7 linked regions of the Canis lupus familiaris genome follow. The protein of the gene in region 2 interacts with the protein of the main gene of each other region in a pairwise test. Links are inferred from orthologs where the notes say so. Each region holds a gene or a part of one and is shown on either strand. Other genes may lie near its edges.

Region 1 (3,956 bases), on a different chromosome or scaffold from region 2:
CCGGGGCATAGACCCAAGTCTGAGAAGACATTGCCAGTCAGACACTGGATGCTAAGTGGGGCAAAAGGCTAAACAGAACGCTCCACCCACAGGCCTGGGGCCACTCACAGAGGAGCACTTCCAAAACCACCGAGAAGGGTCAAAGCAGAGGGCTCAGGACCTGGGGTCAGGAGAAGGTTCTAGATCTCTGGGGAACAAGTGATGGACGTGGTGCTTGGTGGCTCATCCTGATGCTCATTACTTCACTTACTCTTCACAGCAGCTACGGGTGGGGGGGCAACCAGCTGCCTCTCTCCTGGGGGCCCTGAGCCACACCCTCCTGGCCTCCATAGTGGACATTACTATTCCCACCATCCAGATAAGGAAACTGAGGCACAGGGAGTCCCAGAATTTTCTAGGTCTGTGTGACTCTGAGGCCCAGAGCACCCCCTCCCCTGAGCTGGGAGTCTGCTGGCCTCAGCCTTGGGCCACATGGTCACTTACCTTGTGTCACCTCCTTCTCATCCCAACATGGCAGGTAAGGCCTGCGCAAGGCCTGGGGGGCCGCAGGGGGCTCCCATCCTACCTCAGGGGTCCCACTCTCTGCCCAGTGTAGAAGACTATCTCGGAGCCAACAGGCTCACTCCCTCCAGCCCCAGCGCTAGTGTTGCAGCCCCCCCAGAGCATGAGACCCCCTCCCAGGCAGGAGCAGCAGTTACAGGATGTGAATCCTCCCTGTCGCCCCAAGAGTGGGACTCAGGGAACTCTTGTCCTTAAGATGCTTCGCTCCTGCTCCCCATTTCTGGCCCTGAGATCTCACCTCCCAGGCCTCTCTGTCCCCATCTGTGAAGTGGGGGCTGAGCTAGAGAGTCTCTGGGGCGTCCTCTTGTTCCCCGAGGCCTTCCTACAGAAGGTGGCAGGAACTGCTCCCCAGAAACAGAATAGTGTTGCTTTTGAGAGCCCTCCTCCTCCTCCCGGTGGCGCCCCGCCCTCCTCCACCTTGTCGCTCACGCGCCACCGCTGTCCTGGGACTTGTTTTAAGGTTCCTTCCTTTTCTAACGTGACTTACAGCTAATCTTCCGCATTACAACCTTCGTGAATCTTTTTCATTATGAAAGCACAACAGACAAGTTGGGGAGGATCCACATCCAGCTGGTGACCAGGAGGGCTGGGAGTGACAGGGGAAATGTGCTCCATGGAGAATGACTACTTTTGTAAACACAAAGGGCATATTCAGGCGTGGCTTGTACAATCAGAAGAAAGTACAAATCAAAGGAACACAGATTCCAAAATAAACTAATGAAAATGGCGAAAGTGTAGTTAGGAAAAAGGAGGCTCCCTCCCTCCAAGCACCAACCCCCCCAGCAACCCGCTGCCATCAGTGGTTTCCGGCAGATCCAGCTACGATTCGGTCACTGCCAGGCACAAATGTGGGCCCCAAATGCACGCACGTGTGCACACACACGCACAGAAGGACACAGTGTACAAAGCAAGGCCTTGAACGGTACTGGTTTGAACCCCAGCTCCAGCGCTGCCACGATGTGCCTGCCCAGGGGCTCCTGGGTGAGCCTCAGTTTCCTTTAGTTCAAAGGACTCCCTCTGCGCCTCCTTTTGGGTCCGCTGAGCAGCCGGAGCCGGGGACCCCCGCGGGAGGCGCTATCCCCCGCCCCGAGCTCCTTCGTGCCTTTCAAGGCAGCGGGCAAACCTCGGGCTCCACGAAGCAGACGTGTCCCCTGCCGTGTCCCCCGCCGCACAGGGCTCCCCACCCACCTCCCCTGCGGGGCGCCGCAGCTCCAGGCCCAATCTGCCAGCTGAGGCTTTGGGTCAACGGCCCGCGGGAGGCCGGCACCCTGGCGCCCTTCCGGACGCAGCCCCTCTGCCATCCTCCCCAGGCCCCGTGACCCTTTGGGAACCGCCTCGGTCAACTGTCCTGTCCCTAGGGGAGGCCCCAGCCCGGCGCCCCTGCCCTCCGCTGCAGAGCGCGGGCCGGGACCGGGACCGGGACCGGGACCGGAGGGGGCGCTGCGCCGGGCAGGCCAGCCGCCGGGTGGACCCCAAACCCGCGGCGCGCTCACCCCTGCCGACGGCTCCGAGCTCCCCTGCAGGGGGCACTGCGGACAGGCGGGTCCCTGGGGCCCTTCTGCCCACCCCAGGCCCCTGTCCGGGCACCGACCGGGAATCTTGGGGCCCGGCTCTCAGGCCCGCTGGGGCCCGACGTGGCTGCGTGCAAACACCCCCAGGGGCCCGGGTTTCCGCGTCTAGGATGGAGCGTTTCAAGTGGACCGCCAGGCGCTTCGATCCCCGCGGCACCCCGCCCGGCCACTCCCGCCCCGGCTGGCCCCTCTGCGGAACCGGACCGCGCCGGGAGCCTGTCGGGGCCCTCCCGGGGGCTCCGCTTCCCGCCAGACCCGAGCCGGGGGCGGGGCGCGGGGGCGGGGCGCGGAGGGCGGGGCGGGGCGGGGCCGGGCTGCCCAAGTGCCCCCAACCCCCCGCTCCCCTCGATCCCCGCTAGCCGGGCGGAATCCCGCCGCGCAGGAGCCCCGACTGCGGAGGTCACAACCCCGGCCGCCCGCCGTCCCGGCGGCTGAGCCCCTAGTGCCGCCCCGCAGTCGCGCCCTGGGGCCCGGCCTATCCCCTCCTGCCTCAGTTTACCCTCCGGCGGCGCGGCGGCGGGCGGGCGCTGTCGGGGATCGGCCCTGCGCGGGGCCGCCCGCCCGCTGCCCCTCGGCGCCCGGGCCCCACTCACCAGCGACCAGGACGCGCTCCGGGAAGGCACTGCGCGGCGCGGGGTGGTGGCCCAGGTCCCTGCCCCGCCCGCCCCGCCCCGCCCCGCCCCGCCCCTGCCGCGAGGCCCCGCCCCGGCCCCGCCCGCCCCGCCCCGGCCGCGTCCCCGCTGTGTCGCTGGCAGGTCGCTTCTCTTCTTGAGCCTCACCTTTCCCGTCGGAAAATTGGGGCAGCGGGAACCGACCTCAGAGAGGGGAATTACGTCGCCTGACAGCAAAGCCCCGAAAGGCCTCGCACCCAGTAGCTGTGGCCCCCCCATCGCCGGAGGAGCCCCCCCGCCGCGCCCCCCGCCCTCCCGCCCCCCCCCCCTTTACCTGGCGCCCTGGGGCACAAGGCCGGCTGGACTCGTAGTCCTGGCTCAGCCACTTTGTGACTGGTTCTGCCTCCATCTCCTCATCTGTAAAATGGGCACAAGATCGTGGGCCGGGTGAGGACGCCGCAGGGCAATGCAGGCAGGGCGCCGTGCAGACGCTGGGCTCTCACTGAGCCGGGACTGCAGCCAGCACAGCCCGGAGGTGACCTCCAGTCCCAGACGCACCCTGATGGGCACAGCACGTCCAGCCCCGGGCCTTGGATCCCTCACCTCCTCTGAGTCTGCGGGTGCCGCCTTCTAACTGCCGCCCAGGGTCTGTCCTGGCCACCTCGGGCTGACTGGGCCAGGCAGGGCCCCTCAGCCTACAGGAGTCCAAGTTGCCAAACTTGGTACTTGGAGGACAACGGTGACCTACAGCTTCTTCTGCCCAACGATCGAAGCTTGGAGCCTCCCATCCGAGCTACCCTCCTGCCAGGTGGGCTTTTGTGAGCCCCTCCCTCCTTCCACTGCTTCGATATAAAAACAAATATAATCTGGGCTGGATTGCTTCTTTTTCTTCTAATTTTAAAAGAAATTAAGACGTGTTCCTGGGTCCCTCAAGTATTGTGGCCCCAGGCACTGTGACTGCCCTTCAGGAAGAAAGGGGCCACACCTCCCAGGGAGCTGCCAGCCCTCGCCCTCTTCCTGCAACGAAGTACCTGTGGCTTGGCCAAGTGACACATTCACCTCCCCCGGAAGAGCCAGCCCTGGAGGAGACTATGCAGCTTCCCTCCCTCTAGCCTCACCCCTACTACACATGGAGCTCAAGGCTCAAGAGATTTCTGCCCCCAAATATCTGCAGCAGGCCAGGGCCAAAGGGTCAGGCTGAGAACAGTCACAC
Region 2 (4,280 bases):
GGAGCCTGGGGGGCAGGAAGCTTGGATGCCTACCACACACAGCTAGTAAGTGGCAGTCCCAGCAGTCGAGCACAGCTCTTCCTGCCGTGAAGTCTGTACTTTTGACCCAGCTGAGGCCGAGGATACAAGAGCTGAAATGCGGTGGGTCTCAGGAGGACCAAGCTGGGTACTGCCCGGAAGGTGTCTGGCCCAGGGTCTGGTCCATAGCAGGTGCTTGATGCTTGCAGGTGGCATCCCCAAAGGCCAAGACTGGCTGCCAGGCCTCTCTACCTCCATAGGCAGCGCAGGAGGAGGGGCCGCGGGGTGGGGACATTACAGCAGAATCCTTTGTCTAGTTTGAATCCTGCGCCCAGAGGGAAGAGGGAGCCTGGGAGAAATGCCTTTCACCCCTGCCCTCTCCAATGAACCCCTGGCAGGACATAAAATCAACTTCCCCTTTTCACTGCCTATCCCCAGGTCCTGGTCACCCCCCTCCATGAAGAAAGGCACAAAGTCAGGAATTGATGCTGCATCTTTTTTTTTTTTTTTTACTTTTGCCTTCTTAAAGCATGTGCTGAGCTGATGGATGAAGCAGTCTGGCAATTAAAAAGGCCTGGCGGCTTGGGCGGCGGCAGGGGGAGGCCAGATGAGGGCCCGGGAACAGCAAAGCCCGCACTAACTTTATAAAATATAAAACAAGGGAGGGGTGAAGGGAGGATGGAGACTTGTAAAATACAATATCTTAGGGGATTGGCAATAATAAAAAATAAGGTTCATTATTTACAAACAATTTCTGTTCTTGGTCTCTGTACAGTGGGGCGGGGGTGGGGGGGTGTGTCGGTATGTTGGTGGGTGTGTTTGCGGGGAGGGGGCGGGCAGGCAGTGGTCGTGTTGGTCATGATGAGAAAGGAGGGGGTTAGCCCAGTGAGTGGTTTATCTGAGAAGGACGGATGACTGTGGGAGGGAGGGGTGAGAACAGAGTGGTCGGCCCAAGGGAACAGTCCAAATGTGGTGGGGAAAGGAGGGGCCCTGGTAAAGATTGGGGCAAAGATAGGGCTGGGGAGAAGTGGAACCCTTTCTCCTGGGGTGGGAGCCCAGGGGACAGGGGTACAAGCTGGATCCGGGTTAGAGAGCAAGACAATCCCTCTTCTGGGTGCCAGAGGGTAGGTCCTGTGTCCTGGGTCTTGGCGCGGCCTAGGAGAGTTTGATGGTGGTATTGGGGCCCAGATCCCTGGAAAGAGAACAGAAGTCTGGGGTGAGTCTGTCCAGTGAGGAGCTTCTCACCTCTCTGCATGCTGGAGCAGAATGTGGGTGGAGCCTGGGACCCTGGGATGGCAAAGGGCCAACCACTTACCTCTCACGGAACCACTCCTTGGGGTGAGAGAAGTCGGGGCTGGTGCCGTTTCCACCGATGTCTTTTGGCCAGGCCTCACTCAGGTACTTGGTGGTCTCGTGGGTGCTGTCCAGGTGGTCATGCTGCAGGTGGTCCTGGGGCCGCTGCTCCGCCGGCCCCCCGGGGTTGATTTCCCAGCCATCTGGGGGCTCCACAGGCAGCAGGGCACCGCGGCCATCCTCCCACGAGCCTGCCCCCTCGTCATAGAACAGGAGGCTCCGGGAGGGCACTGGACAGAGAACTCATGGTGAGCTTCAGTGCAGAGGCTCCCTGCTCCCAGCCACATTCCCAGCCCAACAGTGAGGGATGAGGGCCCTGCAACTTTACAGGCCTGAGTTTGTTGAGCCCCAGTTCTAACATTTCCAATTGGTATGACCTCAGGTGAGTCAGGCCTTTGCTTTAACCTTTCTGAGCCTTAGTTTGCTCATCTGTAAAATAGGGATACTAGGGCCAACCTCATAGAAATGTGGTTTAATGAGACAATCTGGGGAAAGTGATTGAAAATTGTTTAGGGAAGAACTTGGAGAAAGTAGTTCTTCCTAAGCACTGGGTACCAGGGTGGGCATCTGAGAGTTGGGTTCTGATCCTGCTTCTACTAACTCACTTTCTGTGAGAACTTGAATCAATCTCTTCCCTTTTATTTTTAAATTTTTTTGGTGAAGATTTTATTTCTTTGAAAGAGAGAGCACAAGGGGGGGGGGTGGAGAAGCAGATTTCCCGGTGAGCAAGGAGTCTTGGGGGAGTAAAGGGGGGGTGGGAGGGAACAGCTAGGCAGAGGCTTAACCCCCCTGAGCCACCCAGGCACCCCCTTTCCCATTCTTTTTTTTTTTTTTAAGATTTTATTTATTTATTCATGAGAGACACAGAAAGATAGGGAGGCAAAGACATAGGCAGAGGGAGAAGCAGGCTCCATGTGGGGAGCCCAATGTGGGACTCTATCTCAGAACTCCAGAATCACGCCCTGAGCCGAAGGCAGACGCTTAACCACTGAGCCACCCAGGAGTTTGCCCACCCCCTTTCCCATTCTAGGCCCTAGTGTGTCCTTCTGGAAAATGAAGGAAAAGAAAACACATCTGTTGGATATCTCCTTTGTGCGTGGCATTGTGCAAAGCCCTTTGACCTGCATATCAAATCACTCATATCTCACTGAAAGTCCTGGGAAGGAGATATTTTTAGCTCTGTTTTATAGAACAGGTAACTGAGTTTCCAGCTTATCAGATACTTGGGCTTACGCTGGAAGCCAGAGGCAAACCCAGGTCCGTCTGGCTCCAGGATCTACCACCACCTTCCTGCCCTCAGGCCATGACCTAAGAGTCTGTGTAAAGGGCACTCCCTGCAACTGAGCAATGTACCTGCTCTGAAAGCCAGCCAGCTCTAGAAGCCAAGTCCTACCACAGGTGCACACTGGGAGTCTGCAACCCACTGCACTCACTCCAAGGAGCTCATTCATCCCCTCACTTCCTCAGACTCTGGCTTCATCCATCAACATGGCCTCCACCTTCCACATCCCTCTCTTCCTCCAAATTCACCGGAAGAGGGCCTCTCTGGCTTTGGAGAATGAATTCATGACTCTCAAGGCCTCACACCCCCTGCACCCCACCTCCCTCAGCAACTGTCCTGAAGAAGAGTCTCTGGCCACACATGTCCTGGGAGTGGCTTTCAGTCAACCACTCAACGCCTCCACTTCCTTTTCCTCTAACCCTCCCCACCCCTTCCACCTCTGAAGGCCCTGCTGGTCTAGCTCATTCTCCCTGCCTATCCCTCCTGAGTCCTATTCCTGCTGTCTCCTCCCTCTTTGACCTCCCATCCGTTTCCTTTTCCTCCTCCTGCCCTGCCAGACAATTCCTTCCCAGGGAGGAAGTTCCTCTGTAGGTCTACCTGAAGTCCCTTCTGCCTCTGGAAATCCATACTATTCTTTGCCGCACCCTCTACCAGTTCTCTCCTTGCCGCCCACATATTGTCTCTCTCTTCTCTCCTCTTGTGAGGTCTTCAAAAAGGGAGGGAATGTGCTCCTTTAGTAAGCGCCTGCTGTGTACTGAACCCTGTGCTAAGAGTGTATGTGCATCATGCCATTTAGTTGTGATGACAACCACGCTCAGTGAGTGCAGAACTGTAACTCCTGTTTTTTGGATGAAGACATTTAAAGCATAGGGAGCTCAAGACATGTGCCCAAGGTCCCGCAGTCAGCAAGTGGTGATGGCAGGCATGACCAACTCTGAGGCCCAATGCTCTTTAAGCACCGTACCTCACAGTCACCCAGGGGATGGTAAAGGTCTGAGCCTGCAACCACAACTGCCCCTCCTCTGCACACGCCTGACACTACCAGTGGATCCTGGCTCTCCTTACACGGTGCTTCGGACAGTCACCACCAGCTTATTGGGTAGGGCGCTGGAACCTCAACTCATTTGTTGTCCCAGGTGTGAAATACTAATCGTTTCTAGCAGATGCCCATAACCACAGCTACTGTAATTCCTGGGGGTGGGGCGGTGGGAAAGGGCAGGGTGGGAACATTCCCACTATCCCCTAAACCACCCCCACCCCCGCAGGCCACTCTTGGGTGGGCTGGGATCGGGAAGCCTGCATTGTGGTCCCAATTCCACAATGAACATTGAATAAATCACAGACCCTTTAGGGCCTGTTTCTCCATTTGCAAAATGAAGAGGTCGAATGAGATGTTGCCAACCTGGAAGCCGGCCTCCTCTCTTTTATCTGGCTTTTGCCCCGAAGTTGAGACTGAGGGAAGGTAGCCTGGCTCAGGAGGCACTCACTCTGACTGGCTGTGTAGACGCTGTCAGTGGCCATGGGGTCTTCCTTCACAGTCTGGGAGCTGGAGGAGAACTCAGGGAGGCAGGGCACAAGTGAGCCCAGCACCAGAACGAAGCACAAGGCTGCCACCTGGTAGTAGAGG
Region 3 (3,931 bases), on a different chromosome or scaffold from region 2:
ACAAAATAAAGCTGTTCATTCAAAAAGGGTGGCCTTGTACGACGTGGCATTCCCCCATCGCTGTTTGTTTAAGTGGTATTATCTTGTTAGAAATGTAGTAAACGGTATTATACCCTTCACTGTGCAAATATTTATTAAAAGCTTACTCCGGACAAGATGCATGCAGAACAGGAAGAGGAATCAAAACTAGACTTGCTCTCTGCCAGCCTTCAAAGCAGTGCTTGACACTTTAATATGTATACACATTCCCCTGAGGATCTTGTTAAAATGCAGATTCTGATCCTGTAGGATAGAGCCTCAGATTCTACACTTCTAGCCAGCTCCCAGGTGATGGCAAAGCTGCTGGTCTGTGTCACACACATTGAGTGATAACGGTTTCCGCTAGGGAATCGGAAAAGCACATAATTATAACACAAAGAATGAATTAGTAAATACCATACACGTTCCATTAATCATCAGCAAAAACCTAGATCCGTTCCAACCCGAGGACAATCTCTGTCCTTTTCTGCTCTCACTGTTCCTTCTCTTCTTGTTGGTCTTCCTCAAATGGCATTTCTTTTGGGGTTGCTCGTTGCATTCGCGGTTTCTTAGCTCAGAATAGCTTTCTCCTCCTCTTCAGACCAGTTTCACGCATCTGTCAAGGTTTCTCGCCTAATTACTCCTTCCTCACTGGGGCCCCAGTCGAGGCTGCTCCCCACCGCAGCCAGCTGGAAGGTACCTCAAGCAGTCGCCACTACTTCCTTCTGATTCCAGGAGGAAATTCTGTTTCTAAATCCCTGGAGGAACCCACCTGTCCGGGTTGCCCAGAGAACGTTCTGTTTAACCTGAAGCCCGGTGAGGCGGGCGGCAAGGAGGCAGCGCCGCTTCTCCGGGTACGGAGCGCCTGAGGCCGGGAGGCGGCCCTGCGGTCCCTGGAGCCCGTCTGCTCCGGAAGGCCGGCCCGCGGCTGACCGCGCCAGGGTTTCTGGGTCGGGTGGGCGGAGCCCGCGCCCCGCCCCGCCCCGCCCAGCCCGAGGCCAACGCGGAGCGGGCGCCCCCGCCTGGCGCGAGAGGCTGCCCACCACCGAGGCGGCGGCGGCGGCGGCTAGAGAGGCCGCGAGCTCGGGAGCCGTCGCCGCGCGGCCGTAGGGAACGCGCGCGGGGCGGGCCTGGCGCCCCTGGCCTCGTAGCCATTTTAGGAGGAAACCCGGATCTCCAGCCCGGGGCGCGGCTTCAATTTCAATAACTTTATTGGTGGACGTAACCGCAGAACAGCCATCTCGCGAGTGGCTAGGGGAGGAGGAAGAGCATCGCGGGAGGTGACTGGGGTGGGGGCTCCCCCGGGCAGTGAACGCGGGGATGCGGGGAGTTCCCCGAAGCGGGTTTCCCCAGCGGCGGGCGTCGAGAGGCGGGTGGCGGGTGGCGGGTGGGGGGTGGGGGGCCGCGGGCGCTGCCGGAGGCCGAGGAAGGAGGGGACCCCGGGCACGGCTTCCCTGGGGCGGGGATTCCCTGGCCCGGGTCCCCAGGCGCAGGGGCGGAGCGGGGGGCGTCCCTGACGCGGCCGCCGGGTGTTAAAGCCCCGCGTGGTTCGCCCCGGCAGGTGGCCCCCGACTCGAGCTACAGCCATGGGAAACACCACCAGCGACCGGGTGGCTGGCGAGCGCCACGGCGCCAAGGCTTCTCGCGCCGAGGGCGCCGGCGGCCACGCGCCGGGCAAGGAGCACAAGATCATGGTGGGGAGTACGGACGACCCCAGCGTCTTCAGCCTGCCGGACCCCAAGGTGAGTCTCCCCGCGCGCGCCCCGGCGGCCCAGCCCCCCTCCCCTTCCGGGCTCCTCCTCATCCCACCGACCTACGTTACGGTTTTCTGAATTAAAGGGATGGGGCTGGGGAGGGGGGGGGGGGGGGGGGGACGGAGATGTTGGAGGGTAACTGACGCCTGCGGCGCTGCCTCGAAATACTATAGAGGCGGGGTTTCTGTCGTTCGCCTGACCTGCTGGCCATATTTTTACGATGGGGACTGTAGAGTCGTCCCCCCCCCCCCCCCACAACGCCACACACACACACACACCCATCCCCGGTTTTCCGAACAGGCAGGAGCCCTCTTGGAGAGTAGTGATGAGTTTATGGGTTGTAAACCCTATAGACCCTGGTAGAAAACTTCAAAGACGGTAGGTTGCCTGAGTGGCTGATCATCTGAGACAGTTTCTCAGGTTTACCCTGAGGTAGGCAAACGAATTTCTTTTTTTCTGATAACCTGTAGGTATCAGTATCATTTTTGCTCCTCTAAGAACCCAGCACTTCGGATCCTCTTCCCCTTTGGCAGGATTGTGAGCAGCAGCCACTTGCCTATTTGATACTTTCTCCTCGTCTTGGAGATCAGTACAGGACTTCCTTTGGCTGACTGCTCAGTTGTTCATCTCATCCTTTATATTGCGGTTGGCTGAGGTGCTTCCTTCTTCACACCCAGCTACTGGTCAACTGGGAGAGCAAACGATCCAGGATTTCTCCTCTTCCAGTAGGAATTCGTGATGTTACCATCGCTGAAAACGGACAACCCGCAGCTGCCGGGCAGGCAGACCTTGCTCTCAAATCCAAGGACTTCCAGAAAAGCGGCAACTTGTGCCCACCCGTAGATTAGATGGAGTTGACTGCAATGGGATTACCATCCGAATATTTCTAGTCCCATTTAGAGCTGTCAGCATGAAATAACAATAATCCCTCCAGGCAGTCCGAGTGGGAGGAAGTAGAAAAAATGGAGGGATTGAGGAGATTCAGGTGTGTTTGATGTTTTTTTTTTTTTTATCACTTCAAACCTTTCACCAAATTGGGGTTTTAGGGAGTAAAGAAATGATTTGCCCCATTGGTAGCACATGAAATTTGGATTCTGTTTATTTTCTTGAATCCCAGTTGAAAACATAACTACAGAAAAAGAAGTGAAGGTGGTTAAAAGCACCATCTTGGGGTTTCGTCTCCATTCCTTTCTTCCTTCTCCCACTTTAGAACTTCTTTCTCAGCATTTGGGCCATCTAGCCAGTCATTTTGAATTTCCTTAGAAGCTTTCTCAAGGTGATCCACCTCCTAATTTTACCCTTTTCCTATGTCAATGACTCAGGATTTAAGTACAGTGTATTTGTCAAACTCTGACTGCAATAATTGGTGTGCTGAATAAAAGCCAGGTTGCTCCATCTGAAATGGAGCCTATTTTGGTTCCTTCCTTCCCTAACCCCAGTCTTGCCATTTGTGAGTAAGAAAATTGGTTCAGATAATTCCTAAGGTCTCTTATACATGTAAAATTTTATAGTTCTCAATCTAGTCTCTTTACTTCTTCCTTCATTGTTTTACTTAAATATTTTCAAACTGTAGTTCTCATTGTTTTGCCTCTTTTCATAATGATTTTGCTGACAATTTAACTTGGAGTAAATGGTCTTTCTGCTAGTCAGCTGCACTCAGGCCTGCCACGGAAATGTCATGTCATATGTGGAAGGGCTTTCTTCCAAAGCCGGGCATGTTAATAGTTTGTAGCTTTCAAATTCGAAATTGAAAATACTAAATCATCAAAGTGACTCATAGAAACAGTGGCAGTGGGGTCAACATTGCTTCAAATGCCAGTCCTCTTCAGTGGACTAGGTCAGTGGTTCTCAACCCTGTTTGCACATTAGAATCACCTAAAATTTGTTTAAACACTGTATGGAAAATTAGAGACATTTTCCATGTTTCAAAGTAGTTAGAGTAGTATAGTAAACTCCTATATACCCATCACCCAGTTTAAACAATGATTAAATTTGAACAAATTTATGTCATGCCTATGCCAGTCCACTTCCCCCTACCAAATATTTTGAAACAAATTCCAGACATCCTATCAAATATTATTTTATCTGTAAATATTTTAGGATGTATCTGTAAAGTTGAGGTTTTTTCCTTTGTTTAACATAATCACAGTAATAATATT
Region 4 (4,172 bases), on a different chromosome or scaffold from region 2:
TCTTCAACTTCATTTCTTTTTTTTAGTGATGTCTACACCCAACATGGGGTTAGAACTCCCACTTCCACCCCACCCCCAAGACCAAGAGGCAAATGCTTTTCTGACTGAGCCAGCAAGGTGCCTCCCCAGACCCCACTCCCCACCCCAGTAACTGTTTTAAGTACTGGAAACACAAGTGAACAAATAGATAAAAACCTTTAGGGAGAAGAGATAATAAATAAATAAAATACATAATGTGCCAGATGGTGTTAAGTGCTATGGAGAAAAGACAGCAAAGGGGAATGAGGCTGGAAGGACAGCAGGTAGATCTCTAGTGGAGGTGGCCGTGTTGCTGTTTTCAACAGGATGGCCCGGGAAGGCCTCTCTGATAAGGCAGCCTTGGAACAGGAAACCCGAGGGGCTGAAGGAGGGAATCATGTGGGTCTTTGGGAGAAGAACCTTGCAGGGCACAGTGTGCAAAGGCCCTGGAGGTCCCCAATACAGATGGAGTAGGAAGAGTCTGGAGAGAGGGATGCCTGGGTTGCTCAGTGGTTGGGCGCCTGCCTTTGGCTCAGGCCATGATCCCGGGATCCAGGATTGGGTCCCATGTTGGGCTCCCTGCATGGAGCCTGCTTCTCCCTCTGCCTGTGTCTCTGCCTCTCTCTCAGTCTGTGTCTCTCATGAATAAATAAATAAATCTTTAAAAAAAAAAAAAAGAGTCTGGAGGGAGAATTGTAGATAAAGTCAGAGAAGTGGCAGAGGAACCCGACACAGAGGGTTTCTAGGTCATCACGAAGGCCTGGGCTTCCATGCTCAGTGAGGTGAGAAGCCGTCGAGCCACTCTTAAATCTGGAGCACAAGGGAAAGAACCTTTCCAGGGGAGCACGGCTGGTAAGGGGCGAGAGGTGGGCTGACCCTTCGCCCTTTTTCCTCGGGCACTGCTCCCCCCTGACAGCAGGCAAAGAAATTGGGACACTAAGTGACGGATCTGGGGTTGGGGCCTCGGCCGGCTGCGTCCCCAGTCCCCAGGCCCTTGACCCACACCGCCTCCCTCAGGTGTCTGCGCCGCACCACGTCGGGGCCCAGGGCGCTACCGCGGGACCGGCCCGCGGAGGGCAGCCCGCGCGTCGGCAGGACTGCGGCACTGCCCTGCGACGGAGGAGAGAGAGGAAGTGGGTCTTTATGTGGAGGCGGCGCCGCAGGTACCCGGGAGTCGGAGGAGCGGCTGTCACGGGAAGGCCGCGGGGAGGGCCAGCTGCCGCCGCCGCCACCGCCCTGCTCGGCGGCCTCCGGGAGCCGGGGGCGGGGCCTGGAGCGCGGGGGCGGGGCCTGGGCGGGCCGGGGGCGGGGCCTGGGCGCCTCACCCCGTCACGTGACGGGGCCATCATGGCGGCGGCCAGAGGCCTCCCCGGCTCCCGGAAGCGGGCTGTGAGGGGCGGGCGCGCTGCTGGAACCCGAGCCCGAGCCGGAGCCGGACGTCGAGCGGGCTGGGCGGCGGGGCGGCCTGGAGCCGGACGCGTCCGCGGCGTCCCCGCAGCCCGGGGCAGCAGGTGAGCCGCGGTTGGGGCGAGGCGCGAGCAGGCGTGGCGGCGCGGGGGCGCCGGGCTGGGGCTCGGGGGCGCGGCGGGGGGGCCCGGGCCCGGGGTGCGCGCGCGGGACCCTGGAGCGGCCCTGGAGGCCGGCGCGGGCGGGACGCTCGGGGGCCCAGTGCAGCGGCCCGGAGAGCGTGGGGGTGACGCGCCTGCGGAGGCCGAGCTGGGCGAGGGCAGCAGCCCCTCCACCCGCGCGGCCGCCGTCGCCGTGTCGAGGGGACCCCCTCTTTGCTGCGCCGGGCGAGGGTGGGGCGGATGCTCCTTCTCCCCTCGCCCCGCCCTGCCCCGCAGTGTCCCGGGAGACCCGGCCTGGCGGGCCGCTCCTCCCACCCACCCAACTGGTCCCTCCGGTCCGAGCTCCGGGGGAGTGGAGCTGAGCGGCGGGGAAGTGCAGGTGGCGGGGGTGGGGTCGGGTGGGGGGTGGGTGCAGCTGCTTCTGCGTGGACACCCGCCCCTTGGCAGTGCTGCCCGGGCAATGGATGTAACTCCCACCCCCCCTTCCTCCCCTACCTAGGTCGTCCGGGGGCCCGCCATGCTGGTGACTGCCTATCTTGCTTTTGTGGTCCTCCTGGCCTCCTGCCTGGGGTTGGAGCTGTCAAGATGCCGGGCTAAGCCCCCTGGAAGGGCCTGCAGCAACCCCTCCTTCCTCCGGTTTCAACTGGACTTCTATCAGGTCTACTTCCTGGCCCTGGCGGCTGACTGGCTCCAGGCCCCCTACCTCTACAAACTCTATCAGCATTACCACTTCCTGGAGGGGCAGATTGCCATCCTCTATGTCTGTGGCCTTGCCTCCACAGTCCTTTTTGGACTGGTGGCCTCCTCCCTTGTGGATTGGCTGGGTCGCAAGAAGTCCTGTGTCCTCTTCTCCCTCACTTACTCTCTCTGCTGCCTAACGAAACTCTCTTGGGATTACTTTGTGCTGCTGATGGGCCGAGCCCTCGGAGGGCTGTCCACAGCGCTGCTCTTCTCCGCCTTCGAGGCCTGGTACGTCCATGAACACGTGGAGCGTCATGACTTCCCTGCTGAGTGGATCCCAGCTACCTTTGCCCGAGCTGCCTTCTGGAACCATGTGCTGGCTGTAGCGGCAGGTGTGGCAGCTGAAGCGGTGGCCTGCTGGATGGGGCTGGGGCCCGTGGCGCCCTTTGTGGCTGCCATCCCTCTCTTGGCTCTGGCTGGGGCCTTGGCCCTTCATAACTGGGGAGAGAACTATGATCGGCAGCGTGCCTTCTCAAGGACTTGTGCTGGAGGCCTGCGCTGCCTCCTGTCGGACCGCCGCGTGCTGCTGCTAGGCACCATACAAGCCCTGTTTGAGAGCGTCATCTTCATTTTTGTCTTCCTCTGGACGCCTGTGCTGGACCCACATGGGGCTCCGCTGGGCATTGTCTTCTCCAGCTTCATGGCAGCCAGCCTGCTTGGCTCTTCGCTGTACCGCATTGCTACCTCCAAGAGGTACCACCTTCAGCCCATGCACCTACTCTCCCTTGCTGTCCTCATCGTTGTCTTCTCCCTTTTCATGTTGACTTTCTCCACCAGCCCAGGCCAGGAGAGTCCAGTGGAGTCCTTCATAGCCTTTCTCCTTATCGAATTGGCCTGTGGGCTGTACTTTCCCAGCATGAGCTTCCTGCGGAGAAAGGTGATCCCCGAGACAGAGCAAGCTGGTGTACTCAACTGGTTCCGGGTGCCCCTGCACTTGCTGGCCTGCCTGGGGCTCCTAGTTCTCCATGACAGTGATCACAAAACGGGCACTCGGAACATGTTCAGCATCTGCTCTGCCGTCATGGTGATGGCTCTGCTGGCAGTGGTGGGACTCTTCACCGTGGTCAGGCACAATGCTGAGCTGCGGGTACCCTCACCCACCGGGGAGCCCTATGCCCCTGAGCTCTAGCCCGGTTCCAGGACAAGGGGGACTGGGAAGGACTCTCGAATCCCACCTCTCCGGGGTGGTATACAGATCTCTCCGTGACAGACTTTGCAACTGTCTGGGCCTCAGCCTGTCCTGGGGCCCCTCCTGCCAGTGCTTTGGGTTGGAGAGTACATGGGGGTGATGGCCTGGAAAGAAGATGCCACAAGTTGCCTCTGTGTTACTCCCTCTCCCCTTTCCATTTAAAAATAAACACTTTTAACTGGTCATTGATTGGATTTGCTCATCCTCACCTGCACCCACCTCAGTAGTTTCTGGTGTGTGGGCAGCCGGAGAGTTTGAGGCTGAAGGTGGGCTTATTAGCAAAAGGCATTTGTAGTTCTAGTCTCCAAGACTGTCTCCAGTTTAAACCGAGAGCTGTGGCATTGCCCCTTTGCTGAAATGGGTGGGGACTGCCTGAGGCTCCTGGGTCTTCTATATCTTGTTGCCCTGGGGACAGGTACCCTCTCCAGTTGCCCAGCAAGACCCTTGCTCCACAATCAGGGTGAGACAGTCTCTGGAGCAGGTGGTGTGAACAGAGATTCCAGGGGCTTGAGTTGCCTCTGTGACCACCCCTTGGGGCAAATCTGAAACCTTCCTGCAGAAACAAGCTTGCACCTCAGCACACATATGCTACCTGCCTTCTGTCTCTGTGGCAGAAGGGACTGTTTGTCCCGCACCACGTGCTCCCACCAGGTCCT
Region 5 (4,164 bases), on a different chromosome or scaffold from region 2:
GTCAGGCCGGAGCTGGCTCCTTAGGCTGCTCAGAGCAGGATGTGCAGAGGAGAGCACTGGAGCCTGGGGTGGAGGTGGTGGAGGTGCGGGGGGGGGGGGGGGGGGGGGGGGGGGGGCCAGAGCAGGGAGGAGCCACCTGGCTGCAGCCCCAGTCCCATCTGTCTCCACAACCCTGGAAGCCCTGGTTTCTGTACTGCCCCAGCCCCTACCCCTGCCCCTACCCCTGCCCCAGCTCCACCCCCTGCCCCTGCCCCAGCCCCAGCCCTTACCTGTGCCCCGCCCCAGCTCCTGTCCCTGCCCCACTTCTGCCCCTGCCCCTGCCCCAGCTCCTGCCCCTGCCCAGCCCTTACCCCTGCCCCTGCCCCTGCCCCAGCTCCTGCCAAGCTCTTCCTGGCAGCCATTATTTCCTCTTTCCCCAGATAGGGCTGTGCAGCAAAAAGAATCCCTCCGTCCCTTTCCTGGTCTGGTATCAGCCCACCCTGCCCCCATCCTGAGTGCCTGAGATAAGCCCCATCTCTCTGTGCACCCTCCCATGTCCTCTCCCTGCCCCCGCCCCAGCCCTTGCCCCTGCCCCTGTCCTGCCCCTGCCCCTGCCCTAGCCCCTGCGCCAGCCCCTGCGCCAGCCCCTGCCCCTGCCTCTGCCCCAGCCCCTGCCCCTGCCCCAGCCCCAGCCCCAGCCCCGGCCCCGGCTCCTGCCCCTGCTCTTGCCCCAGCCCCTGCCCCTGCCCCTGCCCCTGCCCCTGCCCTGCTGCCAAAAGCATACACTGTCAAAATGCTGACAGCCAGAACTCGCCTGTCCTCCGACCCATCCTGTGCTGGGCACTGCCCAGCGACCTTGCTGTGTCTTCACCCATTGCACCCCCTGGCACCCCCGGAGGTGATCTGTCCCAGCCCTCATTTCACTGAGCCCCTGGACGTTCCCTGCTCCATCCCCAGGATCCTCTCTACAGCTGAAGAGAACCACCCATCTCTCTCGTACCCCCCACGTAACCCCCACCTCGAGTTTCTTTCTCCTTCCTGCCTGTTCTCACACACTCCTCCCTGTCCCTGTGCCCACTCAGGTCCTGGCAATCCTCTCAGCGGTTAACCCCCTACAGTGGACTCAAATGCAACCATTTCTTGCAGGAAGGGGCCCGTAGCTTTGGGGAGCATTACTAAGGCATTTAGGACCCCAGAGATTGGGGAGAAGAGCTGGAGCGGGTGTGTGGGCAGGACAGCCTGGTGGCTCAGGGCGCAGGTCTGTAGGAGGACCACCTATCCTCTAAAGCTGCCTCGTGGGCACCTGGGTGGCTCAGTGGTTGAGCATCTGCCTTCAGCTCAGGTTGTGATCTCAGGGTCCTGGGATCGAGTCCCACCTCGGGCTCCCTGCATGGAACCTGCTTCTCCCTCTGCCTATGTCCCTGCCTCTCTCTGTGTTTCTCATGAATAAATAAATAAAATCTTTAAAAAATAAATAATACATAAAGCTACCTCGTGAGGCTTTGTCACCCGAGAGGATGCCTGCGTAGTGAGAGCTAGGGCCTACTTGAGCGGTTACCCCATGCCAGGCACTGGTCTCAGCTCTTCACTCATAGAATCTTCGCCGCTCAATGATGTTGGCACCGTGGTCACCCCACGTTGCTGCCACGGCCTTGTAACCCCTGCTCACTCAGCTTAGTGCTGTCTGCTTCACCCAGGGCCCAGAGTCCCTAGCTCTGAAACCTCTTCCCATGGAATGCACCAAGTCCCCCCGGCTGTGAGGGCTCTGTTACTCCCCATCCCCAGGGCCTGTCCAGGCGTCCCCGGCACAGGGGAGACCTAAGGGTGATCTCAGCTGCACCCCAGCCCCAGGACAAACTTTCCAGCCTGGCTCTCCTGCAGTGCAGGCTGCCCTCACCTTCCCTTCCCGGCCCAGGCTGCTGTTGGAAGGGGCCCTGAGCTGCTCCCGAAGGGACTGTAGTTGGTGTGAGGACTTGGAGATGATGACAGCCTGCAGATGGGGGCTCTGCACACCCCTCTAGGCTCCCTCCCTGCCCTGCAGGTCCCAACACCAGTGCGATGGCCGGTTCCACCGTCCGCGCTCTGCTGGCCTCTCCATGACGGTGGCCATCAAGCCCACGCAGAATGACTCCCCCATGTCCCTGGAATTTCCTACCCAACTCCCCACTTTATAGCTTCCCCAGGAAGCCACCATCCCCTTTCCTGAGAAGCTCCAGGACCCACACTCCTCAATCCCTAGATACCCCAAGTCCACCCCGCCACCCACGCATCCACTCTGATACCCTCAATCTGGCCCTGATCCACCTGGATACCCCCGTCCACCCAGGCACCCCTCTCCAACGCTGTCCACCCAGATACGCCCAACCCAGATGCTTCTGGTCCACTCTGACACCCGCGATCCACCCAGGCACCCCGCTTCCACATGTGGACCTTACCCTCGTCCCAGCTCACTCACCCAGTCCCCTCAAGGCAGAATGATCAGGGTCAGGGGGACCCCCGATCAGGCCAATGGAAGATGCTTTGTCTAATCTCCTGCCTCCTGCTCCTTGCCCCCCCCTCCCCGGAAAAATCCTTGCAAGGAGGAAGTTCTAGTTAGTGTCTTTAACAGAGATCAGTGGGAAAGCTGGAGTGGTTTGGGGGCAGAGCCAAGAGGGTGTTGGAGGGAGGGGACCCCAGCCGCTCACCTGTGTGGCTCCCCAGAAGGCTTGGAAAGTTCTGGGAGAGAAGGGAGGGAATGCAGCTGCTAAGCCTGAGTCCTGCCTTTATCCGCAGCTGCCACGCCCTAGGCAAACCTGGGCAGGTAGAGAACAAGTCGGACTCCCTAAAGCTCTGGGGCTCTCTCACCCCATTCCTGCTCTTAAAGAGACAGCTCCCACATCCTTCTTCCCAGCCAGGGTGCTCCCTGAGGTCCCCAAGGTCACAGCAGCCTCAGGTAGGCGGAGGGGGCATACGATGGGCTGGATTCTGCTCCTCACATCAGGACAGGGGGCTTTCTTCAATGTCTCGCCCCCGTGGAAGGGACCTGGAAGGAAGAAGGTTGAGGTCTCCAACAGCAAAGCTTCTGTCTGGAAGAATGGTGGGGGGAAGGCGAGGCACTGGGGTGATAATCTCATGTCTATCACTTAGATTGTGTGCTACACTTGGTCCAGGAGGGCTTGGTGGCAGTTTCAGGATATCTGAAGTCCCTTTCCAGATCGCCTGTTGCTTCCGACCCCTTGAGGGTCAGCAGATGATGCTGATAGGACCAAGGTCATGAGGTGGAAGGTGGTGACAGGAGTGGAAGGTGGGCGCCTTCGGGCTTTAGACTATGACCTCGCTCCCAAGTGCCCAACGTGCCCTGGAGAGATTGGGAACTGGTTTCTGAGCATCGGCAGACCTTCCTAGCTCGGGCTCTTCCCGAGGGTGCTGGGAGCCAGATGCCTGGGTCCAGGCCGAGGGCGTTGGGGTGGAGGCTGCCTCCCACTCCGGATAAGGCCATTGCTCAGTGGTGCAAGGCCCCCTCCCTCCCTCACCCCTCCTGCCCCTCCTCCTCATGGCATTCTTTCTGGCTGGGGTCTGTGTAGGCCCCCACATGGTCCTCGTTGGGGTGCCCCCTCCCCCTAATTCTGCCTTTTTAGACAGAGGGACTTTTGTCTGGGGGCTGGATGGAGAACAAGGCGCCTTTGAGTGGCTGGCGGAGGATTGGGGTCATGGGGAGGGGCAGGGCCAGGAAAGGGGTGGCTCTGCACTGGCCACCAGCTGGACTCCAGGCGACCCCCAACACCATCTCGGGGCAGGGGAGGAGGGCTGCAGGAGCCAGGCCAGGGAGAGTGCGGAGTACAGGATGGGGAAAGGGAGTTTCCGAGGTCAAGACTCTGCTGGGGGTTGTCTGCTGGGGGTTGTCCGCAGGGCAAGGGAGAAAGGACCCCCCCACTTCCTAGCAGGAAGGGCTGGGGAAGCAAGGAAGGCAAGCCCAGATACATGCTTTCTTTATGTGGCTCCCTCAGGCAGTTTTTCAATCCCAGGCCTTAGACTAGGACAAGGCCTCCCCCGCCCTGCTCCCATCAAGAAGTCCCTACAAGGAGTGGAGGGGGCACTCGGGGTGAGAGGCTCCATCAAAGTGGGAGGTTCAGGGGGAGACAGAAACAGTCAAGGGAGGCCTGGAGGGGATGATCCCAGTGCAGCTAAGGGGGTCTTTTGTCTCGG
Region 6 (2,658 bases), on a different chromosome or scaffold from region 2:
CACTGCCTGCCTCCCACTACACTTACTTAGTACCACATGTTCTAACTTCTGCCCATAGGGTAACATTGACTGAGTTGGAGCCTCTGCAGTGATAGGTATGGAGAATTCAAGGAAGGTACAATGACTAGACAGATTGGGGCTGCTGCTCTTGGTTTGACATACCATTTGAGTCTGCTCAGACTCCATACTGAGACTTTTGTGTTCCTAGCACATTAGGCCCCTATTCCTTCATTCCTCTTCCTCCTGGTGTAGCTTCTTTCTTCTTTCTTCTCTGAGGGAACATCTCTGAGGGGTCAGGCCAAGGAGAATAGGACCTCAGTTCTTTAGGTCACAGGGTAAGCAAGGAGCGGAGGAACCTAGCGATTCCTCTAAAGAATCCCTAGCCTCATTTGGGTGCTCACTCAAGTGTCCACCTTACTTATGCAGGAAGGGAACTGTCCTCAATTAGTATGATTTCCTGATATCTTTTGTTTATCTGTTAATGCAGGATCCATGCCTTCCAGTATGTCATCTATGGAACTGCCTCTTTCTTCTTCCTTTATGGGGCCCTCCTGCTGGCTGAGGGCTTCTACACCACCGGTGCAGTCAGGCAGATCTTTGGCGACTACAAGACCACCATCTGCGGCAAGGGCCTGAGCGCAACGGTAACAGGGGGCCAGAAGGGGAGGGGTTCCAGAGGCCAACATCAAGCTCATTCTTTGGAGCGGGTGTGTCATTGTTTGGGAAAATGGCTAGGACATCCCGACAAGGTGATCATCCTCAGGATTTTGTGGCAATAACAAGGGGTGGGGGACAATTGGGCGTGAGTCTGTGGCCTCATCCCCACCCAAGGCTGGGTCCTCTCTAGGGGCCTGGCTTTTGAGTGAGGAAGTGATGGCTACAGCCGAACGAGAAGGTCAGGAAGAACGTGGTGCCCAGCTGGCTTAGCCTCACCTTTCAAAAGTTCCCTAGAAAATTTCATCTCAAAAAATTAAAAGCATAAGTTTTGTGAACACTTCATAAAATCAGACTATTTCTAAGCCATCTGTTGGTATTCCTTTACTTTCCTCTTAGCAAGGACCACAACAAAATTAGATTTGACCACCTAAGAGCCTAAATGCTACTCATGGGATTGAAATGCAGGCACCTGATCTGAGAGGGAGGGTAGATCATGGAGATTAAGTAATTCCACTCCAAGGTGGAATTCACAATATTCTGGGATTCTGCACTGTTGGAGGTCCCAGAGGAAACTAGCATGGATCTACATATTTAATGCTTCATCTTTGTCTGAGGGTTATCCATGCTTCTGGTGAGGCATACATTGCTTTTCAGTCTCTAGAGTTAAGATCTTCTGGGGATTGAATATCTGTGGGTTATGGTGATATTTTTTGTGGCCAGCAGTTGGCTTAGAATGGTTTTGGGATCTGAAATTTAAACCTCCTATTGGCTTTGCTCAGTGACTGTCCCCTATGCCAAGGAACATTTTCTAAGCTCAGCTTAAGGCAAGAAATGGCACGACTTTCTTTCAAGATCTGTTTTGATTTCTTTACATCTTATCTGCCCAAAACAAAATCTCCTGAAGCCTCTCTAACCCAGGGATCCTCCTCACTCCAACCCCCACCCATTCCCCCCACCCTCCATCACACTTGGGGCCAGTTTTCTAGTAGATACTGCCAATGACATTTGGCAGTGGTGTCCTAATTACTAATTTCATTTGGTGGAGATCCCTGGAACCTGGTTTCATATCTGGCACACACCACTCCAGGATCTCCCAGTTTGTGTTTCAATGTCTACAGGCCAATGCTGATTTCTAACCACTCCATGTCAATTGTTTTAGTTTGTGGGCATCACCTATGCCTTGACCATTGTGTGGCTCCTGGTGTTTGCCTGCTCTGCTGTGCCTGTGTACATTTACTTCAATACCTGGACCACCTGCCAGTCAATTGCCTTCCCCAGCAAGACTTCTGCCAGTATAGGCAGTCTCTGTGCTGATGCCAGAATGTATGGTGAGTTAGGGTATTGGGGCCTTACCTTCCCTACCTCCTATGAAAGCACTATATATTTGTTTCTTAGGATGACAAGGGTGATAACTATAGAGAAAAATATTATGGATGCCTGGATCTTACTTTGTTAATCCCTCCCCACTGAAATTGGAGAGATTTCTTCCCTTGGTATGGAACTTCTCTTGGAAGTGGTAGGAGTTTTCTTGGCTGTCCACACTGCTCTAGCCTGGTTGAGAAGCAGTACATTTCAATAACAAACACAAGATTACACAACTGTTCAGTTCCTCCTCCTCCTCCTCCTCCTCCTCTTCCTCCTCTTCCTCCTCCTCCTCTTGCTTCTTCTTTGCAAATCTTTATAAAAGAGGATCCCGATTGTTAGTAGGATCCCACTTTTCAGCCAAGATGATTAAAGATGGAAGAAGGGCTCTCAAAGAAAATCTCCATGGAGCCCACAACTTCTTGAAGCTCACCCTGGTAAACTTGTATGTCTTACTCAGGTGTTCTCCCATGGAATGCTTTCCCAGGCAAAGTGTGTGGCTCCAACCTTCTGTCCATCTGCAAAACAGCTGAGGTGAGTGGGTCATTTGAGTTCTTCTACAATGGAATGGCTAGTACCATACAAATTCCTACCCATGGCCTTTAATTTTAAAAATCAGAGTTGGTTTTTTATGTGTTT
Region 7 (2,295 bases), on a different chromosome or scaffold from region 2:
CCCTTCCCTTTTGAAGCTGTGAAGTCATCCTGTCACTTGGTTCATGTTCCAGTTCCATTAGGTTCATAGATTAAATTGCTTTTTCCTGCCCTGATTTAAGCACCACTCATTGGATCTGGGAAGAGTAGAGCTCTGGCAGCAGACAGTAGGCAGGTGGGCAGAGCCAACTCTAAGTATAGGTTTGGTCCGCAAAGACCAACAGCATTGGAGCCTCAAGTATGAGTGCAGGCACCCAACTGTATGATTTGGGGCACGTTATCTATCCTTTCAACATTTCAGTGCCTCAGTCAAATGGTCATTTAACCTAAGCCTTGGAGCACTGGATTATGAATGTCAGGGTTCAGGACCCTTCTGATGAAAGTTTTAAAGAATCACTTTTCCATTTTGAAAATGAACTCTCCTGAATCAGCAATGAATGGGTTCATGATTTGGGGGCTTGATCTTGCATATATGGAGGTTATTACGCTGTTATATTTTTATATGTTTAAAATTCTCCATAATAGGGACGTCTGGGTGGCTCAGTGGTTGAGCATCTGCCTTTAGCTCAGGGCATGATCCTGAGGTCCCAGGATTGAGTCCTGCATCGGGCTCCCCGCAGTGAGCCTACTTCTCCCTCTGGTGATGTTTCTGCCTCTCTCTATGTGTCTCTCATGAATAAATAAATAAAATCTTTTTAAAAAGTAAAATATTCATAATAGAAAAGTTAACATCAAAAATGAGCTTTTCTAAGACCAAGCAAGCAAGTTTCTCATGAACTCTTTCAGATAACTGATTTCAGAACATAAAAGAGCTCATCCAAGGTCTTTGCAGTGTTTATGAGCCTCCTTCTAAATTGAGCCATTTTTTTTCCCTGTCCTTCATTAATCTTATCTTTATCTCATATTTCCAGCTCAGGGTGTTAAGGTTCTTTCTTAGTCATTTACAGAGGAGATTCAGAGCAGGATGTTACTGGAAGTCACAAATAGAAATGGACTTTGGGCCCACTCATCAAAGATTTCAGATGAGCACAAGCAGGGTGCTGAAGTGATAGTAATTTCATTTTTGATGTTTCCTTCTACAGATTGTGGATTCCTTTTTCATTGGCCGCTATGTCCTGCTGGCTTTCCTCACTGCTGTCTTCCTTGGAGGCCTGTTTTTGGTTCTCATTCATCATATCCTGGAGCCAATCTATGCCAAACCGCTGCGGTCCTACTGAGCACTACTCAGGAAGACCAAACCATTCTGTCCTTCACTTCTGAGGTCACTGATGAGCAGAAAGGTACTCTTCGGAACCTTATTTTGACAGCCTTCATGCCTTAAGATTGGAGAAATATCCATTCATGACTAAGACAAATCCCTTGAGTCCTGGCTTCCAGAAATGGGGTTGCAAAATTGGCCCTGCCGAGATGATTCTCACCATCTTCAGAGGGATAGTGTGGTCTTAGCACCTGTTCCTCAGGTTTTCAATATGTTTTGAAAAGGTAATGGTAACAGTGACCTGCTTCCAGTAGATTTTCAATCAAGACATCAGTAAATGGATTTTGGGAAAAGGAACACTTTGGTTTCTTCTGTCCAGTAGACTGAAGACTCTTGTCCTTTTGAGAATACACAAGATTCTTTGTTAAAAGGGTGGGATCATTTGGGAAGGAAAGGCACTCAAAGTTCAAAAGATTATTTTAATGGGATGAGTTGGAAGAGTTACCCAGGTACTGGTTGTTGACCAGTTTGCATATGGTGCCACAGAATATGTACAGACAATGGGTGTCACTTCCCTCTGCTCTAGTAAAGCAATAAACAATCAGAGGACCGACTTTCACTTCAGAGTCTTGGCCACAGCTTTCTCAATCTATATTCTCTATTTGAGAGTTGCTTGGGTATTAGAAGAAGATATGGAAATGTTGGTTGCTTGTCTTGCTGCTATAAATCTCCGGATTCTTTCTCTTTTAGCATTTGGTGGCTTTCAAGTGCCTTTTTAAATTGTCATAGGATCCATTTGGGGTTATTATCATTTCTTTTTATCTTTGTAGCTTTTTCTCCAAAGCTGGTAAGGAATATACATACATTCCAAGGATTAGATACAATTTTATACCAGTCTCAGATCCCACATCAACCAAAATTATAATTAAATGGAGGGGCTCTAGGGTGGTTCCTTTTTGGAAGTTACCTCCTGACTCCCTAGAACTAAATGAAGAAGGATCTTCTGGCTTAAAATTAAGAACCAGAAAACAAGTTGGAAAGAAAACTTTGAGCATGTGCTGAGCTATGTGCCAGTAGTATACAAGTTCCCTTGTAATTCAGTGTATTTAAATTTTACAA

Evidence for each region.
Region 1: the proteins of CREB3L1 (region 2) and TSPO interact in binary tests that used the Homo sapiens proteins (3 or more experiments, as listed by UniProt). The two-hybrid records come from large-scale screens. The link is inferred for Canis lupus familiaris from reciprocal best matches to the Homo sapiens genes CREB3L1 and TSPO.
Region 3: the proteins of CREB3L1 (region 2) and PRKAB2 interact in binary tests that used the Homo sapiens proteins (3 or more experiments, as listed by UniProt). The link is inferred for Canis lupus familiaris from reciprocal best matches to the Homo sapiens genes CREB3L1 and PRKAB2.
Region 4: the proteins of CREB3L1 (region 2) and MFSD5 interact in binary tests that used the Homo sapiens proteins (3 or more experiments, as listed by UniProt). The two-hybrid records come from large-scale screens. The link is inferred for Canis lupus familiaris from reciprocal best matches to the Homo sapiens genes CREB3L1 and SLC61A1.
Region 5: the proteins of CREB3L1 (region 2) and FXYD3 interact in binary tests that used the Homo sapiens proteins (3 or more experiments, as listed by UniProt). The two-hybrid records come from large-scale screens. The link is inferred for Canis lupus familiaris from reciprocal best matches to the Homo sapiens genes CREB3L1 and FXYD3.
Region 6: the proteins of CREB3L1 (region 2) and PLP1 interact in binary tests that used the Homo sapiens proteins (3 or more experiments, as listed by UniProt). The two-hybrid records come from large-scale screens. The link is inferred for Canis lupus familiaris from reciprocal best matches to the Homo sapiens genes CREB3L1 and PLP1.
Region 7: the proteins of CREB3L1 (region 2) and TMEM218 interact in binary tests that used the Homo sapiens proteins (3 or more experiments, as listed by UniProt). The link is inferred for Canis lupus familiaris from reciprocal best matches to the Homo sapiens genes CREB3L1 and TMEM218.

Annotation. Positions count from the first base shown.
Region 1 is NC_049231.1:23,355,149-23,359,104, forward strand, and holds the start of TSPO (translocator protein), read right to left. Parts: upstream 2,801-3,956; 5' UTR 2,726-2,800; intron 1-2,725. UniProt on the Homo sapiens protein: Can bind protoporphyrin IX and may play a role in the transport of porphyrins and heme. Promotes the transport of cholesterol across mitochondrial membranes and may play a role in lipid metabolism, but its precise physiological role is controversial.
Region 2 is NC_049239.1:43,564,038-43,568,317, forward strand, and holds the end of CREB3L1 (cyclic AMP-responsive element-binding protein 3-like protein 1), read right to left. Parts: intron 4,268-4,280; coding exon 4,141-4,267; intron 1,602-4,140; coding exon 1,334-1,601; intron 1,211-1,333; coding exon 1,174-1,210; 3' UTR 501-1,173; downstream 1-500.
Region 3 is NC_049238.1:58,294,633-58,298,563, reverse strand, and holds the start of PRKAB2 (5'-AMP-activated protein kinase subunit beta-2), read left to right. Parts: upstream 1-1,131; 5' UTR 1,132-1,298; intron 1,299-1,303; exon of another isoform or gene 1,304-1,387; intron 1,388-1,579; 5' UTR 1,580-1,604; coding exon 1,605-1,760; intron 1,761-3,931. UniProt on the Homo sapiens protein: Non-catalytic subunit of AMP-activated protein kinase (AMPK), an energy sensor protein kinase that plays a key role in regulating cellular energy metabolism.
Region 4 is NC_049248.1:44,704,825-44,708,996, forward strand, and holds MFSD5 (molybdate-anion transporter), read left to right. Parts: upstream 1-1,372; 5' UTR 1,373-1,412; coding exon of another isoform or gene 1,413-1,948; intron 1,949-2,085; 5' UTR 2,086-2,103; coding exon 2,104-3,456; 3' UTR 3,457-3,701; downstream 3,702-4,172. Other genes in the region: translation initiation factor IF-2-like, read left to right, coding at 1,036-1,281, 1,413-1,948. UniProt on the Homo sapiens protein: Mediates high-affinity intracellular uptake of the rare oligo-element molybdenum.
Region 5 is NC_049222.1:118,298,803-118,302,966, forward strand, and holds the start of FXYD3 (FXYD domain-containing ion transport regulator 3), read right to left. Parts: upstream 2,801-4,164; 5' UTR 2,664-2,800; intron 2,580-2,663; exon of another isoform or gene 2,435-2,579; intron 1,290-2,434; exon of another isoform or gene 1,283-1,289; intron 1-1,282. UniProt on the Homo sapiens protein: Associates with and regulates the activity of the sodium/potassium-transporting ATPase (NKA) which transports Na(+) out of the cell and K(+) into the cell.
Region 6 is NC_049260.1:77,751,107-77,753,764, forward strand, and holds part of PLP1 (myelin proteolipid protein), read left to right. Parts: intron 1-487; coding exon 488-749; intron 750-1,816; coding exon 1,817-1,985; intron 1,986-2,479; coding exon 2,480-2,553; intron 2,554-2,658.
Region 7 is NC_049226.1:9,394,753-9,397,047, forward strand, and holds the end of TMEM218 (transmembrane protein 218), read left to right. Parts: intron 1-1,060; coding exon 1,061-1,195; 3' UTR 1,196-1,795; downstream 1,796-2,295. UniProt on the Homo sapiens protein: May be involved in ciliary biogenesis or function.